Drosophila melanogaster: one gene and its partners. The protein of the gene in region 1 interacts with the protein of each later gene in a pairwise test. Each region holds a gene or a part of one and is shown in the gene's direction. Other genes may lie near its edges. The genes, in order: toy, sov, vimar and lov.

Evidence for each region.
Region 2: the proteins of toy (region 1) and sov interact in a two-hybrid assay, tested with the Drosophila melanogaster proteins (one large-scale study listed by BioGRID).
Region 3: the proteins of toy (region 1) and vimar interact in a two-hybrid assay, tested with the Drosophila melanogaster proteins (one large-scale study listed by BioGRID).
Region 4: the proteins of toy (region 1) and lov interact in a two-hybrid assay, tested with the Drosophila melanogaster proteins (one large-scale study listed by BioGRID).

The regions. Positions count from the first base shown.
Region 1 is NC_004353.4:988,074-992,771, forward strand, and holds the start of toy (twin of eyeless), read left to right. Parts: upstream 1-1,651; 5' UTR 1,652-2,178; coding exon 2,179-2,429; intron 2,430-3,992; coding exon 3,993-4,173; intron 4,174-4,698.
Region 2 is NC_004354.4:6,754,588-6,759,378, forward strand, and holds the start of sov (small ovary), read left to right. Parts: upstream 1-1,734; 5' UTR 1,735-2,113; intron 2,114-4,022; exon of another isoform or gene 4,023-4,791. Other genes in the region: CG14439 (uncharacterized protein), read left to right, coding at 1-524, 585-856.
Region 3 is NT_033778.4:6,982,669-6,987,477, reverse strand, and holds the start of vimar (visceral mesodermal armadillo-repeats), read left to right. Parts: upstream 1-1,765; 5' UTR 1,766-2,059; coding exon 2,060-2,066; intron 2,067-4,491; exon of another isoform or gene 4,492-4,769; coding exon of another isoform or gene 4,770-4,809. Other genes in the region: CG17002 (uncharacterized protein), read right to left, coding at 545-644, 702-1,133; CG30156 (uncharacterized protein), read left to right, coding at 4,770-4,809. UniProt on the Drosophila melanogaster protein: Probably acts as a GEF (guanine nucleotide exchange factor) for the Rho family of small GTP-binding proteins (G proteins) that stimulates the dissociation of GDP to enable subsequent binding of GTP.
Region 4 is NT_033778.4:25,136,606-25,141,356, reverse strand, and holds the start of lov (jim lovell), read left to right. Parts: upstream 1-1,729; 5' UTR 1,730-1,815; coding exon of another isoform or gene 1,816-1,916; intron 1,917-1,968; coding exon of another isoform or gene 1,969-2,293; intron 2,294-2,345; coding exon of another isoform or gene 2,346-2,696; exon of another isoform or gene 2,697-2,730; intron 2,731-4,751. Other genes in the region: CG43106 (uncharacterized protein), read left to right, coding at 1,816-1,916, 1,969-2,293, 2,346-2,696. UniProt on the Drosophila melanogaster protein: Has a regulatory role during midline cell development.

The DNA.
Region 1 (4,698 bases):
AGCCGCGTCTATGTCTCTAATCTATATGCCTAATCTCAACCTGTTAGCTTATATATTTCCTGAGATTTCGACGTTAATACGGACGGATAGGGCTAGATCGACTCGGCTAGTGGCCCTGACCAAGAATACAGATACTTTATGTAGGCGCTTCCTTCTGACATTCTATTTTACACATTGATAAAGATATTGAAATTAAAAAAACATCAAACAAAATGTAGGCTTTAGAGTAGACGTGGCTAAATTATTGTTTAGCATATCGATAGAGACTCTACTAGTAAGTAGGTACGCAAGAAAAATCAAATATCATGAGTGCAAAATTTAATGGTTATATGCATTTGTTGCAGCCCAGACACTACGCTAAATAATATAAATTAAGGTATTTTCACACATTCCAGGAAAATCAGATTCGTCACCTTTACAATGCGCCATGAAATTTTTGGCACACGCAATAGGAATGACAAAAAGGCGATTCAAGAATATGCCCCTTTGAAGAAGCCCAGCACACTGGATGCCGGCACTACAATAATGGAAATTGTGGTGGAAGGGGAAATAGATTCGTTGATGCGTGTGACTTCAAAAATCCAAAAAACGTGTCGGACAGGATGTTGAGAGCAAGTAAGCTCAGTGGTGGCTTTTTGGGGTGGTTTAGGTTTTGAATGCTGTTACTTGGGGGTTTAATTTCTGTAAATAATAGATATCGAAAATGTAAATACAAGCAGAAGTAGCAGAACAGACAATTTATGTATTTACATATTTAATATTTTGTATAGATATACAACAAAAAATTTACAAATACTAAATACTCTTTAAAGTTAACAATACAAACTTCATCTCAAGCCCAAGTCACGCAGATCACGCTACAGGTAAGGCAAGGCATTTTGAACTCCTGATACTGTTTGACCTTCCTGAATACGTTTTTATTGCTGTTCAATTTTAAATTTAAATTAAAACTAATAAAATGCACTCATAGTTTTTATATGTGAATGTATTTTTGTATATTAACACAACCGACATCAGAAATATAATAATACTTAACGTAAAGATGGGGAATTGATACAGGGCAATAAATAACTAGTCGTTCTATACTTTTTTAAAACAAAGGTATGGCAAACGATTAGATTGTATGTTATTCAGAATGATCAGATTCTTAAACTTTTGGATACATGGTTATATAATCAAATATTTTAGGGATTAAGTGCATTAAACATGATAAAATATCATCACAACCAAACATATGCATACAATGATGAATAAGACTTACACATATACACAACCATCTATGTTTATATAAATTCAGTTTTATTTTCCAGCGTTATTATCGCTGAATCCATAATGTTAAAGTTGCCCACGATATATTTAACAACCAACCAAAACTTCAAAAAGATTTTCAAGCGGATAGGGTACACTTTTCTTTCTTCCATAGCCGTCTCTTTCCTACGCAACTCCTATTTGCCAGATGTGCGCACGATGGATTTTGTTGTAATGCCTCTCTTCCTCATGTCTCTATAGCTATCTCTTTTCACGGCACGGAAAACAGCAACGTTGTTAGCTATCGCTGACTGCAAATGAAAAGAGACAACTAGAGCAACGCCGCCAAAATGGCTGGCCGATGTGTTAGCCGTTGCTCTTGCCAGTGTTTTTTCGCATGAGAGCTCATTAACGTTTCGCTTGGCTAAGTGCGCACCTCGTCACTGAAACCAGTTAGCAAAAGAAATTTTTGTTCAAGCTTAAACCGATACCTACGTCACTATTCGATCATTTTGAATGCAAATTATTCCCAGATTAATAAACTAGGTCGCCATCCGTGGCGCTGCCGCCGGGCTGCGGACCCGTACTTTCGACGGAAAATATCGGGACCATTTTCATAAACGATCTATGATACAGTTTTAAAACACTTTAACGCTTTCCATCGTGCACACTTAAAACAAAACTCATAAAGTGAAAGTTCATATCCTGGCAAGTAAAAAGTGATAAATGTTAAAACGTCTGAAGTGATAGTCTGGAGTTTGATTACCAGGTGAAGAAGATAATATATATGGGATGTACAAAGTTGGCAACGAAGCCCCCCTTCTAACAACAATGAAAAAGGGAGTAATCCTACTTTCTCACTTTCAATAATAAACATACGCACGTCAGCCACCGTCGAAGTCTCCAACGCCGCATTAAAAATAATTAATTATGATGCTAACAACTGAACACATAATGCATGGGCATCCCCACTCGTCAGTCGGGCAGAGTACTCTATTTGGGTGCTCCACGGCGGGCCATAGCGGAATAAATCAGCTGGGCGGCGTATATGTTAATGGCCGGCCACTGCCCGATTCAACGCGTCAAAAAATTGTCGAATTGGCTCATTCCGGCGCACGTCCTTGTGATATTTCAAGAATACTACAAGTGTCCAACGGTTGCGTAAGCAAAATTTTGGGCAGGTGAGGCATTTCGAGTGCATAATGACATTTTCTTAACTAAACAGGAACTACGAAAGTAGCCTCCAACAAACAAACTGCTCAGCTAAAATTTCTGACTTCGGACTTTATTATATAAGCACTGCGTTTAAACCAGGGAGTGATATTAAATTTGGAAAATATGAAAGATTCGATTATTATACCCGTTACTCAAAGAGTCAAAAGGTATATTAGATTTGTTGAAAAGTATGCAACAGGAAGAAGGATGCGTTCCCGACCATATGAAGTATGTATATATTCCGTCTGTCCGTATGAATGTCTCGATCTCAGGAACTATAAAAGCTAGATGGTTGGAATTAGGCATACTGATTGTAGAGATATGGACGTAGCGCAAGTTTGTTGACCCATATTGCCAACACTTTTAAAAAAAGTGTTGATTTTTAATCGTTTTATTGTTTGTCTTCTATCGGTATACCAAAAACACTTTCGCCACACCCCTTCTTACACCAACAAAACGCAAAAAACGGATCCCAGAAAAATAACACAATTTTGCTTTCGTATTTAGTCGTATAGTCGGGGAATTCGACTATAGCATTCTCTCTGTTTTTGGTAAGTTAATGGCCTTACTAACGTTTCAGTAGTTTCTATATGCATAAGATCCGAATGCCTCCTAGTCTATTTCGTATCAACTAACCAATGATCGTAAGACTGCGTATGATTAAAGAGAACTTGCTTAGCATCTGTTTTGCGAGTAGCCAAATTTGTTTGTTGGAAGAACCTCTTTACGGCGTTATTGGTGTCCGTATTGCAAGTGCTGTCCATTGTACAACACTAACAAATACATTTCTCCCCTGGCTTCTAATTAATACTTATGTTATTTTGTTTAGCATATATTCTATATTCAATCCTATATGCCATTCGCAAAATATTTATATACCGGCTGCATTTAACTAATTTAATGTCTACAACTGAAAGTGTTGACTGTTGACGCTGAGGTTTGCTTATAGTTTTTATTATCTCGACGCTAAACATTTCGACGGCGTTTAGCATTGTCACCACTAATGAATCGCTGCGCTTTTCTTTTTACAAGTTGCAGCTCGCATTTACAAGCACTGCACTCCGAATTGTTTTTTTGTGCTCATCTAACATTTTGGAAAGAGGATTTTTCAATCAATACTAGAGGAATGTCCTTTTTTACTTTACTATAAGCACTGCTCTTCCCGAGAATATTTACGGCTTTCGACTACTAAGTTACATAATTGGAACTAATCAGATATTAGCAGTTCTATTATAAATACTTTAGAGTAAGAAAATCAATGATTTTCGTAATATGAAAATTTGAAATCAGGCCCCCATCCCAATCTCTCATTGTGTGACTCTGATTATTGAAACACATTCACCATTTATGATCATAATACATAAAAATCAAAATCATATCTTAAGAAGAACGTATTTTTAAATTCTCTGTTCTTTGCAAAATAAGAAAATATACAGCCAAATCTAAATTGATTGTATATTCATTGTTTATTCTATTATCTACTTTTAATGACTACTCAGATAAAATGTAAATAAGTTTATTTTTTTTAGATATTATGAAACTGGATCGATAAAACCTCGAGCTATAGGTGGTTCAAAGCCACGAGTAGCTACAACCCCGGTTGTGCAAAAAATTGCAGATTACAAACGGGAATGTCCCAGCATATTTGCGTGGGAAATACGAGATCGACTGCTATCGGAACAAGTTTGCAATAGTGATAACATTCCAAGTGTAAGTTATATTTTGCGCACATAATAATATTTCTGCACGTGCTAATAAAAGTTCTAACATACCATTTTAAGCGTTTTCGATCCTTAAAAATATATATGTATATTCATGATCAGGATCTAGGACCAGTCCGTACCTCTCTTTCTGTCTTACGTTAAAAATTTTAGAAGTTTAAAGCTGAAAGATTGTTTCAAACTAACTTTCTAATAGAGCCTTATAGCTTTAAGCTATTTATAGTTGTTTTCCTGTTCTCTTAAAAACTCTGATCTGACTAATAAAAGTTCTAACATACCATTTTAAGCGTTTTCGATCCTTAAAAATATATATGTATATTCATGATCAGGATGGATCTAGGACCAGTCTGTACCTCTCTTTCTGTCTTAAGTTAAAAATTTTAGAAGTTTAAAGCTGGAAGATTGTTTCAAACGAATTTTCTAATAGAGCCTTATAGCTTTAAGCTATTTATAGTTGTTTTCCTGTTCTCTTAAAAACTCTGATTAATGATACAGTTACTCGTAGAGTAAAATG
Region 2 (4,791 bases), on another chromosome or scaffold:
TCCGGCAATGATCATGTTGATGATTGCCGCGTCCATCCGTCACTGCGGTGGCATGACCTTTGCCTACAACGCCGATCTCTACTACAACACGTACTTCCCCGACGTGGACTTGGGCTGGTGGCTCTTTGGGGTCACCATTGGCATTGGCAGCGTGGGTGTGGTCGTCGGTGGCATTGTGTCGGACAAGATTGTCGCCAAGATGGGCATTCGATCACGCGCCTTTGTATTGGCTGTTAGCCAGCTAATTGCCACACTACCAGCCTTCGGATCGGTCTACTTTGACCCGCTGTGGGCCATGATCACGCTGGGCCTGAGTTATTTCTTCGCCGAGATGTGGTTCGGTATTGTCTTTGCCATTGTTGTGGAGATTGTTCCGCTGCGCGTTCGCTCCTCGACCATTGGCGTCTTTCTGTTTGTGATGAACAACATTGGCGGCAACCTGCCCATCCTGGTGGATCCGGTGGCCAAGATCCTGGGCTATCGCGGTTCGATCATGATCTTCTACGCTGGATTCTACGGCATCAGTAAGTCGGCTTGATCTGGCCACTTTTGGATACCAATATTACTAACACCTCTGGTCACAGGTTCTATTCTCTTCTTCATCACCTGTTTCCTGCTGGAAGGCAAGCCTGATGAGGTGGGACAGCCGGAGTCGCCGAAGAGCCATCCGGATGCCGTGCTCAATGCTCGCCACATGCACGGACACGACAACTCCGTGTTCTCCGTGGACGAGACCTTGCCCTCCAACGGACGTCCTGCCCAACTTCCGCAGCATCTGCAGATGTCCAGCAATGGATACGACAAGTCCCAGATTTCTCCGCCACGACAAAATGGCGCGGAGAGCAGTAGACTATAGATTAGCTTAAGCTCCGGAGTGTTTTTTTTTTTTTATTAATTAATATTATGCAATTTTTATGTTAGGTTGTTAAGATACCTGCTTCAAATTCGGCTAACTGATAATTCGATATCTGCTTTACATCAGATATCAGTTCTTAACAAATATGCCCGAATCCGGAGCAGGTGTCCTTGCACCCAGCAATCATAGGCCTAAGCGATGGATCCCCGAGATTCCCGCAACACTGTATTTTTAGCGCGATAACTGTGTACTTAATTCGCCAGGCGATTACAAGTGTACAACTTTAATAAAGTGCTGTTTTGTTAACATAAATTGAGTTCGACACTCGCGACACTTTCAGCTAAATCAGAGGTGCTTTGAATTGTGAAATTGGCAGAAAAAGTTGAACAAAGGATAGTGCTGCCCTTATATTGAAGGAAAACAAAATTTGGATGCGGCTATAAAAAACCTTAGACCATATTCCTACACTGCCAAAAACCAAATAATAGCAGTTAAATACGAACCTTATATGCCACGCCAATCTCCCAGGTAAGACACCTCCGGATCCACCGGTTGAACCACAGACATATTAACACCCACATATCCTTCGCCACCCATCCATCTCCCTTTAAAACAGCTTTCATTTGTATATAAATAAATTTTTCACTTTCACTCTAAACCGAAATTCTATTTAAATCCTAATTATAAATATAAAAAAAATCAAGATGCTATCTTTAAAATTGTAATTAATACCAAAATTTCCGGCTTTTTACCCATAGTGCAACGTACCAGTTTCCTTCAGTATGACCATGTTGCATCTAAGCCAAAAAGTTTTGTTTGTCCATAACCATCGATAGCTATCGATAACTAACTTAATAAAATAGTTGCATGTATGACAACAACATCAAAGTACGTGGCTTAATTTCTTTCATTTCTATGCCTTATGGCCAGCTCCTTCGAGTAACATCTACAAAAAAATAAGAAAAATTTTCTCCCCGAAACGAAAAACCCTAGTTTTTCCCAACTTTCACTTACGACGAAAATCATCGCGGCGAATTGCAGACACGTAGCCTTGGCAGAGTGAGCATTTTGCTCTGCTATTCGTGTCTATCGTATTCGCCGGCAATTGCGCATTGTGAGACACGGGCATAGTTCCCTCACTTCGGCGTCAACTTTGGAAGTGTTCGGATCGGCTCGTATTTCGACACCTCCGCAGACAAGGCCAAATTGCTGAGCATCGCACAAAACTCCAGAAATAACGGAGGAAAGTAATCTAAAGTGAGTACAGTTGAATATTACTAATCAAGTGGTAGTTGTAATAACGGGAATGTGCATCAACGACGAAAACAAAAACGAATTGTAGAGGCCAGCAAAAAAGTCGTGCTCTTGTTTGTCTTTGTGTTCGTTTGAGTTTGCGTCTTATGTGGACGAGCTTTTGCGACTGTGTTTGTGTGTGTGTGTCTGCATAAGTGTTCCGCAGAACTTATCGTGTGAAGAATCCAACCGCCGTTTATATAAACATTCTTCCATAAATCATTTCTCGGACGAGAGCGGAAAGGACGTTTACAATCAATAATGGCGTATTGCGAGCTCTACTATGAAAAGTGGATTTAAGTTAATCGCGTAATGATAACTTCGTTTCTTTAAATGTTTATACACACATTACTAACGTTACTAACTTTTTTTTTTAAGTACTGTGGTGGAAGGAAACTCTTCTGACCTTATGTAGTACATAGGATTTTAACCATGACTATTATGTCCGTTTTTCTGTCCGTATGAACGACCTAAAAAGCTGAGATAGGAAACACATTCTAATGACGAAAACGCGACACAATGATTCGATACCAACGGTCAAGGTAGTGCCAAAGACAAGATGCGTAACGCTATACGATTTTTTGGCACACTATTTTTTCGCCATGGCTCTAGAGGTGGCTCCAGGCTCTCTCGATTTTTTGTTCGAGAGCGAGAGAGCGGAGAGCGCTACAGCAAACAGCTCTTTTCTACGCATACAGTGATAGTTATTATAGTGTGTTTGGTAGTGCGCACTAGCGCACTAAAGGCTGAATGCTACATTTGTGTCGCCAAAAACCGATGTTTCAAAAGTCCAAAATACAAAGTGACCCACTTTTTCTAAATCGTTGGAGGAGAGAATTCTGTAGTCAAATCCCCGACTATCAGATACCCGTTACTCAGCTAGTGTGAATGCGAACGCGAAATTTCATCATTTTTCTGGGATATCGAAAGATATTGGGGAATAAAATGAGAAAAAATTTTCCCAAAGTGACCGTATTGGCGGCTTTATGGCGTTAGAGTGGGCGTGGCCAAAAGTTGTTTGCCAAACCGATAGAAATTTACAAGTCTAATAAAATTATGAACAAATTTCGAAAAAAAGGTTCAAAAGCGTGGGCAATTTTTTGCGGTTTGTGGGCGTTAGAGTGGACGTGGCAACATGGGTCAACAAACTTGCGCTCCGTCCATGTCTCTGGAATCTGTATGTTGAATCTCAACCTACTAGCTTTTATAGTTTCTAAGATGTCGACGTTCATACGAACATACGGAAATGGCCAGATCACCTCAGCTATTAATCCTGATTAAGAATATATATATTTTATATAGTCGGAAAGGCTTCAATCTGCCTGTTACATACTTTTCAACGAATCTAGTACCCTTTTACTCTTCAAGTAACGGATATAATAAAGAAATAGAATAGCAAGGATGATCTGTATAATTTTTAGAACTTGTAAAAGGCAACGAGAGTTACTTTGTCACAAAATATGGATACCTTGCCACATACTTTATTTTTAGGAAAAAGAAAACTACTTGAGAGTATCAGATTTGGAAAATGAAAGGCACTTCTGACCTTTTTTTTTTAATAATATCTGTAAATGCACAAATAAATGCAGTGATTACTCACTATGTGCATAAAATACTTATTTAAATCAAGCTTAAAGTAAATGCTTATACGTTTTAAGCATAGCAAATGGACTTTGATAGCTGATAGATAAAAGAATCAAGCTAAGTTCCGTATTCTATCCACAAGAACACCGATTGGTTCATTCGTAAAGGAATGTAGTCGTTTTGCTGAAAAAATCCCATCGCTACTCGAGGGTTACCATTTGTTGTTGGTTTTGCGTGGACTGAGTACTTTGACCTTGTACTCTACCTACTACAATGAAACCACAAAAGTAAACATGGATATTTTATTCCTCAAATGAAAGAAATGATGATAGTGCTACAGTAATAGTTATCAAGGATAAGAACAACATGCTTCCGTCGTTGCGAACACATTTTCAGATTATGTACTAGACCTTCCTGTGCTCCAACCCTATTGATTTATATTAAAAATCAAGGTCATAATAAGGATCGCGATTGGCTTGGTTTATATCAGCTGGTGTATCAAGACTTAAATGGCACACAGTGTTTGGTATTCGCCGATCGACGAACCAGACCATGAGTCGTGTTAGAAGTATTGTTCGTAATACTGTGAAGTGGCGCCTACTAAATATGTTTTGTGTGTTGGAAGAGTTCAAACTGAAACGGTACATAAGTTTAATTATCCCATTATCCCATACAGATATATTGTGATAATGCGGGTTAAATATGATTAATGATCAACAATAATAGGGTTGGATGGTTTCAGTGTTGCTCTTCTAGGCGGTCTGTTCTGTACTCTCGATCAGCGCGTACTGCCACGTCGATTTAGAATTCTTGGCTTCCTTGGGCTTTTAGATATGCGCAAGAGTCGAGTCGCTGAAAGTTTAAATGTGTGTGTGTGTGCGTGTGGTCATCGTTTCGTAGAAAACTAGGTAGACGCTTCCCGTTTATATTATTATTGTGCTATCTGCTTCGTTCTGTAGGTACGGGATTTGTGGACGGCGTATGTATGGAATGTGCTTATGTCTCATGTTTGCTGTTTTATTTACGCTATCGATCGCAACGTCGAAAGATTGTTTAGT
Region 3 (4,809 bases), on another chromosome or scaffold:
TCGGTGATTGTATCGCACCTTTAGCCAATGCCAATTTGCAGTTGAATTTTAAAACTCGAGCTATCTGCTAGAAACCCTATATATATCGTTTCTACACTATATATCCTTCAAAATAATAGGGTAATTTTTGTGCACATTAAAACACATTAAACTAAACCATCCAATACAAAGCCTAAACAGCACGAAACTTTCTTTATATCGAATTGATTATTTACTTAACACTTAACCATGTTTTTGCAATCATTCCTAATTAGAAGTTCAATTGATATTAGTGCTAATATTTCATAGAGCTTAAAAAAGGGCTTGGCAATCAGAATGTAGAGATGATGACATCACAAAAATCACGTATATCTCTCGTCCAAATCAAGAACCATACATATGTGCTAACCAATTCAATGACTAATCAAATTATGAGCAGATCCCGCATTCGAGTTAACAAAATCCAACCGAAATTGCGTGCATGAGACTTTGGACTGCCTGCCTGAGGCAGCGTTCACTGTATCGGAGGCCCAGGGACCACATTGTCGACCTCTTCCTGGCTTACTCTGCTGGGCGTAGCTGGCGGCGCTCTTGTAGTAAGCCTGCTGCTGACTCGGCGGCGATGGACTCCTGCCACGTTTTCCTGGCTGTCCGCCGGACGGGAGCTGCGAGGAAAAAAGAGGACCATTAGAACCTGAATCCCACAATTGCGCAGTCGAGACCTTCTGCATCAGCGTATGGTGCTGGTGTTGGAGGCGCAGGGGCGGCAGGAAGACCGGGCTACTGGCCGCCGCCTGCTGGATGGCGAACAGTTCGTTCTCCTTGGCCAGCTTCTTGCGCGTTTCGTCCTCGTTGAGCACCTTCTTGAGTTGGACGGTCAGCTGATGCTTCTGGCTGTGCAGATCGGCCAGCTGCTCGTCCAGTCGGGTTATCTGGCCGCGTGTGTCATCCAGGGCCACCTGGTTCTGGCGCTCCACCTCCTCGCGCTCCCGTCGCAGCCGCTGCTCCTCGCACTGAGCCTCGAACTCCTCCTGGCGCCGCTGGCGGTCCGCCACGATGAAGCCCTTCAGTGCCCCGCGCAGCTTCTCCGCCCGCTCGGCCTTCGCCGCCTGGGCGGCCGCGTTGCTGTTGTTTACCGCTGATGCTGGCGGCATCTTTGTGCTCTGCTTAGTTATCTTGCCAATTTTATAAGCGTTCGTGGACGACCGGGCAATCGCGACTGTTTGACCGAACCGACCGAGAGGCTCCCCAAATGGAATGGCGTGCTGGTGGCGGTGGGCTGGAATCCGGGTGGACACCGCTACGGGAATCAATGGTTGGGCGTCTTGGGATCACTGCAAATGCTCGACGCCGGGCTGCACTTTATTTTCGTTCACTTTCAGCACGGTTTTTTGTGGTAAACAATTTGTTGAGTGAGTGGGATGTGCCGACCAGTGTTGCCACCAATCGATTAATGGGCAAAGCTAGCTAGAAAATAGCTACTTTCCGATTGTGGTGGCAAATCTTAAGTTAACGTTCGAACTAAATCACTTATAAAGAATTCGATTTTTTCTTTAAAGCTTATATTCCTAATATTACTAGTCACACCCCAGAATTTAATATAAAATACAAATAGTTTCAACACTGATCGATACTTATCGATAACTTTTTGGAAACAGATTATAGTTTTTGGAAAATCCAAGCATTAAAGTCTAGACATTCTAGAAATGTCTATCGATGTTAATAAAATGCGTAAGCATCGATATGGCATCTCTCATTGGAGGTATCGTGCAGCTCGAGCTCTGCGGTCACACTAGAATTGCAGTTGTTGGTGTGAACGTCTGAACGCGATTCGGAAAATACGGATTACACGGATAATACGAATTATACGGATATTGCGGAAGTTGAACGGAGACGCGACTGAAAGAAAGCCGTGAAATGTGTTCAGTTGCGCGCAGCAGTCATTAGCCTATCAGCAGTGTTTGTTACAAGCTAACAGTGATACAACGTGCCTGGAATCGCAACCAACGCAGAGCAAGAAAAGCAGAAAAGCATAAAAACGGAAGAAGCAGCAGCGGAATAATCAACAAAGGCGGCAAACATGGCGAGTGAGTAACATCGAGCATTTCTCTGCCTATGGAGCATCCCAAACGACATACAGCAGACCCCGGATTCCTTTTCCATAGCATAAACAAACGCAATTCATGCGAGTCATTGCAGCGGCCGTTTTATGGCTGCAGTGCAGCATTTACGAGCTGCGAAAACTTCCAAATCGCTGCCAGGTGTCGGAGGAAGTTGCTCCGAGCAGGGGCAGTGGGGTGGGGGCGGGCGATGCGGCTCCCTAGACAAGATGTGTGTGTTTGCCGGGGACATGTGAGAAAAATCAATACTTATGCTCCCCACTCCCCATCCCACTGCACAGTGGGCCGGTCGGATTAGGCAGATGCCGTGCTCCTGCTGCTGTGCGCACCCACTTATCGCGGCCAACAGGGTCAGCGCTTCCCAATCAGAAATCCCGCTCTTTTATCCTTTAATGGCCCCGGCAGTTCTGGCGGGAATTAAGTGCGGCTGAGACAGCGGCCACCACCGTTTTGCACGAACCCGCCACCCGAGCCGCCCACTCCACCGCAGCACAGGAGGAATAGGAATGGGAACTGGGAACAGCAGTGACGACGCATTAATAAATGAGAATATGCCTCCTGCGAGGTGCCAGGTTTACCGGCGTGTCGCAACACTCCCCGCAGTCCTCACAATTCGTTTTATCCCCACGGGGGGTGATATAGCAAACAAAACGATGAAGTCATGCACAGTGAGAAATCTATGGCAACTTTGTTGAATTGTTGATAAACATTACAATTAGGACAATCTTCACAGATTAAGCTTAAAAGGGCTTAAAATTCGATACTACTTTGCAGTCAAAGCGCAGTCATTGTCAAGATAAAGCTGTGACTAACTAAAAGAAACCCCTTTTTTTCTTGTGTTTCTCAGTGTAGTTGGATGTGTAACGTACGCACTGGATGTGTTATATTTGGGTCAGTCACCGATGAGAATTGTTAAACGTAAACAAGTCTCTAAACTTCTTAGTTTTCAAACGTGACTGCACCGAATCAACACATACATAAACACTGGCCACAGACTGTACTGTTTGTATACCCTTTCCCGAGGGGAACCTGTGCAGAACGACAACAAACAGCACTTGAACGCGCCGGCAATCCCGGCCTCGAAACTTCCCCTTTTTCAGGAGGGGTGCTGCATCCCAATCCCCACACCACTGTACACCTCACTTGTCTACAGAACCCACCAGCTGCGCCCAGCGTAGCGAGACCCATTTCCACACTGAAAACAATTCGTGGTTCTTGTTCATTTTAATTCATATGCAAGCACTGGGAAACTTGCGCTGAATATATGATTTTCAAGACCTGTCATTCGGAGCATTCATTAAGTGTTACATAAGTTTTATACCTGAAGTATAGTACATTGAAATACTATTCGACATTACTATAGATTGTTTTGAAATCTAATGAAAGGACATCTATAAAATTCAAGGATGCAGGCCATTGGACCGTTGCGGCATGATTTACTCGCTGTGCAGATCCCAGCTGCGAGATGCTTGCCACGTCCTCCCTGCGGCTCAGTCACTTTGGACTTTAATTGGTCCTTTGTGACTGCATTTGTCGACGCTTTCGCTCGGCGTCTTCGACGCAATTTGACTGCTGTCCTTGAGGCTGTGGCTACCATCAACCCCGAGGCTGGGAGTCTGATAAGGAAGAGGATATCAGCTGCCAAAGCAGGCCGCTCCCCTCGCCAGATTCCAGATTCTAGATTCCGGAGCTGCTGCCTCTTTATTGTTATTGTTATTATTTTGGGCTTTTCCATTCGTTCCACGCAGCTTACCCAGATTAGCTGGCTGTTATTGTAGTTTGCCCGGCTTCGAATTTATTGTCCTTTTCCACCTCCTTCTTGCGTATTCCGGCGTCGTTGCTTCATTTGCTTCAAATCTAGCTGGGTGACTTGTGATTTCCCCGTGCCTAGCGCCTTCCACTCGCTTTATTCTTTTAACTGCTAATAAGATTTTGGCCCTTCTAATGGCCTTGAGAATGAATGGGGCGAGCAGGCCGCCTTGAAAAGATGAAATTGTGGGGTGGTTGGTGGCTAGCTCTGTTTTAATTGAGTTCGTGCCCTATTCAAATTGGCATAGAAATTAATTTCAATTAACTTTCGAGTCTTTTCGAGGAGGCTATGTGTGTCCCCTTGACAAGTTGTGGAGCATACTTTACGGGGCCAAAAGAGGGTTGGCATTTTGGGGAATCCCCCATCGACAGAACGTTCTAACTTGTGTGCTTCAAGTGTGCAACTTGTGTGCAAACTTTTAGTTTTTTCCGCTCTAAACTAAGCAACTTGTACAACTTGTGTCAACTTTTAAGTTGGTAAATTCGTTGGTATTTACACGAGTACTGCATGATTTAAATGTTCAATAAGCTGGCTGGTATGTAAAAAACGGATTCAAGTTGTCTTTTCTCAAGTGTTCATTGTGTTGACATACAAAATGTTGACTGGCGAAAGTCAATTTGTATTTAAGTTTGCAGCTACATATACATATACAGTCAACTTAGTTCGAAACTATTTCGGCTACCTCTAATATACATACAAAAGCACTTTGTTAAATTCACCAACTCGGTGGATTGTCCCAGAACAACAAACCAAAATTTAAAATTTGCAAACGAACAGAGAAAAACGAATCCTTTTTTGTCTTCTCACGCTGCTGGGAAGGAGAAGAAAGTAACCAAGAACTGGAGGACGACGACTTCACAATGGGAATCCTGCAGGCGAGGAGGCATCACTGCGTCGACA
Region 4 (4,751 bases), on another chromosome or scaffold:
CACGAAGCCGCCAAGAAACCGAAGACTTTCTGCAAACCGTCACAGGGGGATCTGCACTTTGCGCCTGAAAACCGGTTTGAAAGACCTCTTTACGAAACTTGGCTTCGATTGCATTTTTATTTCTGGTTTCAGTTTCGTAGTCCACCGATTACCATGTGATTTCCTACACCGCAACCCACCCCACCCCATCAAAATCACCCTCCACATCTCAAGCCCCTTTCGGGAGTACGAGTATTTGTTGAAGCAATTTGCTTTCTTGCATCTTGTGGCTGACCGAGGCGACTGCGATGCAATCAATATATGCTCGTGTCCAGCAAATAATAGACTTCAAACTGGCATTTTAAAAGTTTTTTTTCATAGCCAAAGTCTCGAAGTACGAAGTGCGATTGAGCCTGGAAGGAGTCCGCCAAGCGTTTTGGGTCTACAATTCATTGCTCTTACCGAGGGCAGAACACTTTTCCCCTAAATGCTCACATAGTTAAACTTATGAAAAGTTCGCTTTGTGCTGCACTAACAGGGGCCTCCAACGAGGGCCAGCTCACTATCCCTAAAGACAGCAACAACGAAGATCACTGCTCAGCAGTACAGCTAGAACATCCTGTATATGTCATAGCAATGAACTCTAATCCACTCTAGTAAATCAATTTATTAGCCACGTATGACTTATGCCTTTTTAAATAAACGCTTGCATGCGTTCTCTAGTTTAAGTTTAAGGTTGAGCGATTATAGATTGGCCATCCCTCAAGGGCGGGCTGAGTCTCAAGATACTCTTAAATAGAGGAGGCACAAGATATTTATGTTAACATGGCCTGCGTAGTAATTTGGCATTGTTGAGGTATCACGATTACGATACGACTTTAATTGTAGTAAAATACGAGCAATCGTATATGTGCTTTGCAATAGTGGCTTCGGTGCAAGCCATGATTATCTCTACTTTAAGATATGTGTGCACAAAAAATACAGTTATTTGAAAACGTTTAGCGTCAATAGTAAGAGTGTGAAATGACCTAGGCGAGTAATGCGTGCTCGTATCCGGATGAGAGTTCACTTATGGGTGCGTTTTGGTGACTTCGCAAAGCACTGCAAAAGTTAACAAACGGAGAAATATCAACAACATAGCTATATAAAACCAGTTGCCAAAAAAATGTGGTAAAAAATGCTTAGTTTATCTTGCTTAACTTTTTGTACAGCGTTTGCCTTTTCCGAGTATGCACACAAACGTTGAGGATAAATTGAAAAAGCCATTTTGCTGCCAATTTAGCAAACACTTAAACCAATTTTGCACTTCAATCCACCGACGCACACAAAAAAGGAGTGTCTCATACCTATACAGTTCCTATTCAGCTGAAGCCACACACTTGCACTTCTCGGATCCCAAGCGGATTCATGGAGCTTGCATCGACGCTGGCTTTGACGCTGTAACAAGGACGACCCAAAAGTCAGTTGCTGTGCCCCACAGGGAGGAAAGTGTAGGAAGCTTCCAAAACGTTGCCAACAAAGTGTGAAAATGTCAAGTCGTAAAGTGTCCACTGGCTGAGGGGACGCAGCGAGCGGTAGATGGGTGCAGTCTGTAAAGTGAAATGCCCTGACACCCATATCTGTTCGGGCAGTTTAAGTCAGCTTTGAGAGGAGTATCAACATTTAAAACAGGAGGACAATCGGTTATTATTGTCGCAAAGTTGATTTACAGAGAAACACAGCGTTTTGTAATATTAGAACTAACCCATTTTTACGCTCTACTCGAGAAATTAGTTAGCTTTGTATTAAAAGTCTGGTGCAATTAATGCTTTAGAATACTTTCAAATTTATCGAATAATGTCCTGTATTTGCCAATACCATGATCTCGGGGACATTGCCACCAGAGACCTAGTAGCGTTTCCTTTGCCTGCAAGTGACGACATGAGCGCTTTCAACGAGTAAGTGATAATTTAATTATCTTATCTTTTGTTACCACTGGACTTCTCTTAGGGTGAATAAAGAATCATTGGGGCATAATGCTGCTGAGATTAGATTGTCGGCCTCAAGTCTATCCGACTGCCGTGTAGAGAACTGGCTCCTTAAAAAGAAATTACGCGAATACGAAGTTACAATTGAGAACCTTGAGCAGTTGGTGACTACTATAGTTGAGAAGCAGCATCAAATTTTGAGCGAAATGTTTTCCTTACGCAAACAAAACCGAGAGCTGCAATCCGAGTGTCATCTTCAACGCGAGTATCACTCATTGGAAAGAAATGCCTTGATGAAGGAGCTGCATGACGCTCAAATCGTGTGTAGAAGTCGAAATCTGGATACGGTAAGTACAAACATAAAGAAACTAAGAGTGCATTTCTAAATGGGAAGCGCAGGCATGTCGATCAGATGAACATCAAGGTAGTGTAAGTTTGCCACCTGGGGACACGCTCCTTAAATCTGAATCCTCTTATGGTGATTTCGAAGAGGAAGACATGAGTGAATCGGACGACGGAGATCAGTGCGAAAAATGTTGGGTCGGCAATAATAAAGAGGATTTTGATGCTGGAGAAAATTACGCAGAGCCTTCAGCACTTAGTTCAGGTCAAAATTCTGGTAGGACATCACCGTCCTTATCAAGCTCAGTAACAGGGGACTCGGAATCGGCTGACGACAGATTTCTCAATAACATAAGCATTAATCAGAGCCTTACTAGTGATAGCGATCCGGAATATGCAGACAAATAATTACTACTTGATGCCTTTGAGTTTAAAGGTCTATATATTTTCTTTAATATAAAATTCAAATTATTTATAGACCAAACTTTCTACCGTGACTTTAAGTTGTCTTTCATGGCATTAAATAATCAAAACAAAAACGTGACAATCGCACAAATCAAATCAGCCATAAGTTTGACATAACGTGACGGTATCAGATTGTGTACAGACATGGCACTGCAAAGAAAAAACACGTCAATTGAGAAAAATAAGAGAATACCGACGCCCAAGTATTTGCATATTAAAACGCCAAAGGGCTGCAGAAAACCCGTTGCTAAAGTGCTCTCCTCGCCACCACACAAATATGATTGAATGGTAAGTAAATATATGTTCGCCAAAAGGGGAGTATTTAGATTACTGGCAAAAACGTGTTAAGTGTTTATCTATCGAAAAAGTTCAGGCCAAAACAGCTACCAGCCCTTTTGCAGCTTCTGGCATGACTATACATGGTTTGGGATTGGCCCCACACAAAGTTGTAAGAGAAGCGAGAATGTGTGCTTGTATTATGGGCAATTTATCAAACAGAAAGTTTTCAGCACAAATGAGTCGTGGCAAGGAAGCCGAAGGCCACCCGGGCACCCGTTTGCCAACAGGATTAATGAGTCTCGTGTGCTGCCTGTCCTATCCTACATCCTTGAAACCTGTCTCGCAGCACGTACCAATAATCTATTATGAGCCCTCTTCGAGAGGCAACTTGTGGAAGTTTTCGGGTTCTTTCCAAGATCGCTTGTCTTGGCTACGTTTTATGTGAAGATTTTTGATACTATATATGGGTGATAATATGAGACGTTATGACGTTTATCTCAGACTTGTAAGATGTTAAGCCAGAAACCACAGTTTTTCTGTTAGCATGAACAAAAGAGCATATTGCAATGCAATGTCAAAAACCTTAACTTTTCGTTGCTTGCCCTCAAGGACTTACACAAAAATAATTAATGACGAACGGCCTCGACTCAATGTAAATCGAGTCCGAAACTGTTTGCAATATCATTTATCAATTCAGAATTTTGTTTAGAAACTTGTTGCGCACAAAAAAGCTTTTCATGTACACGTGAGAAGGTACGAGGACTACCGCGGTAAAATGAATGGGATACGAGATGTGAAACCAAACAAGGCATTAAAGAAACACGCAAACATATTGAAATGCAATACCGTCTTGGCACTATAAACGCCTTGCGAATCGCATCATGATAGCTCCTGCATCAGAATCTTCTACGCCCCAAACAAGTAGCTTAAAATTGCGCGTAAGTGAGCATGGGTGCGTTTTTGAACCTTTGGTTCAGGCTACATCAAGACATATGAAACCAAAATGGTGCTAGTTGGTGGACGGTTGACTTTGTGAATATAGTTATTTTGGATAGTTATGTACAAGCGACCAACGCCGTCTTAATATTTTTATATTATGTTGTAGCAGGCTGCCTTGATCCGACGAAAATCGAATTTTCTGGATCAACGCCTACTTACTTACTCAACCGTAAAAATACATAAAACTTTTGCAAAAAAAAAAAAAAAGAAAACAAGGAAAAACCGTACTTGCGTGTTCTAAGCAATTTCAAACCAATAATCGTTGGGTGTCTTTTAAATTAAGTAACCAGAGCCATGCAAGCCAAATATGCCACATTGACATGTCTATCAATGCTGCTATGATGGCTTTGATGGGATGAGGGCAAGGACTTTTTGTTATTTTTTAATTTAACTAATCTAAAATTGGAATCATTTTATACTCAGCCCACAGGAAGTGTGGCATAACAGAAATAAAAGAAACCAATGAGTGATACATTGCGATTAATACAGGAGAGTACTATCCAATAAAGCAAGGCAGACCACATTTCATTTCTATTATACCGCGCTTTTCATATATGTATACATTTTACTTGGTTTAACACAAAAACCTGGCTGACAACTTTCTCAAAAATTTCTGGGTAGAGTTCAAAGGGGGTAAAATTTACTTCATACACCTTAATACATTCACCAGTTCATTTTATAGGGTTTCTCATGCATATTCAGAAAAGTATTTGTTTGAAC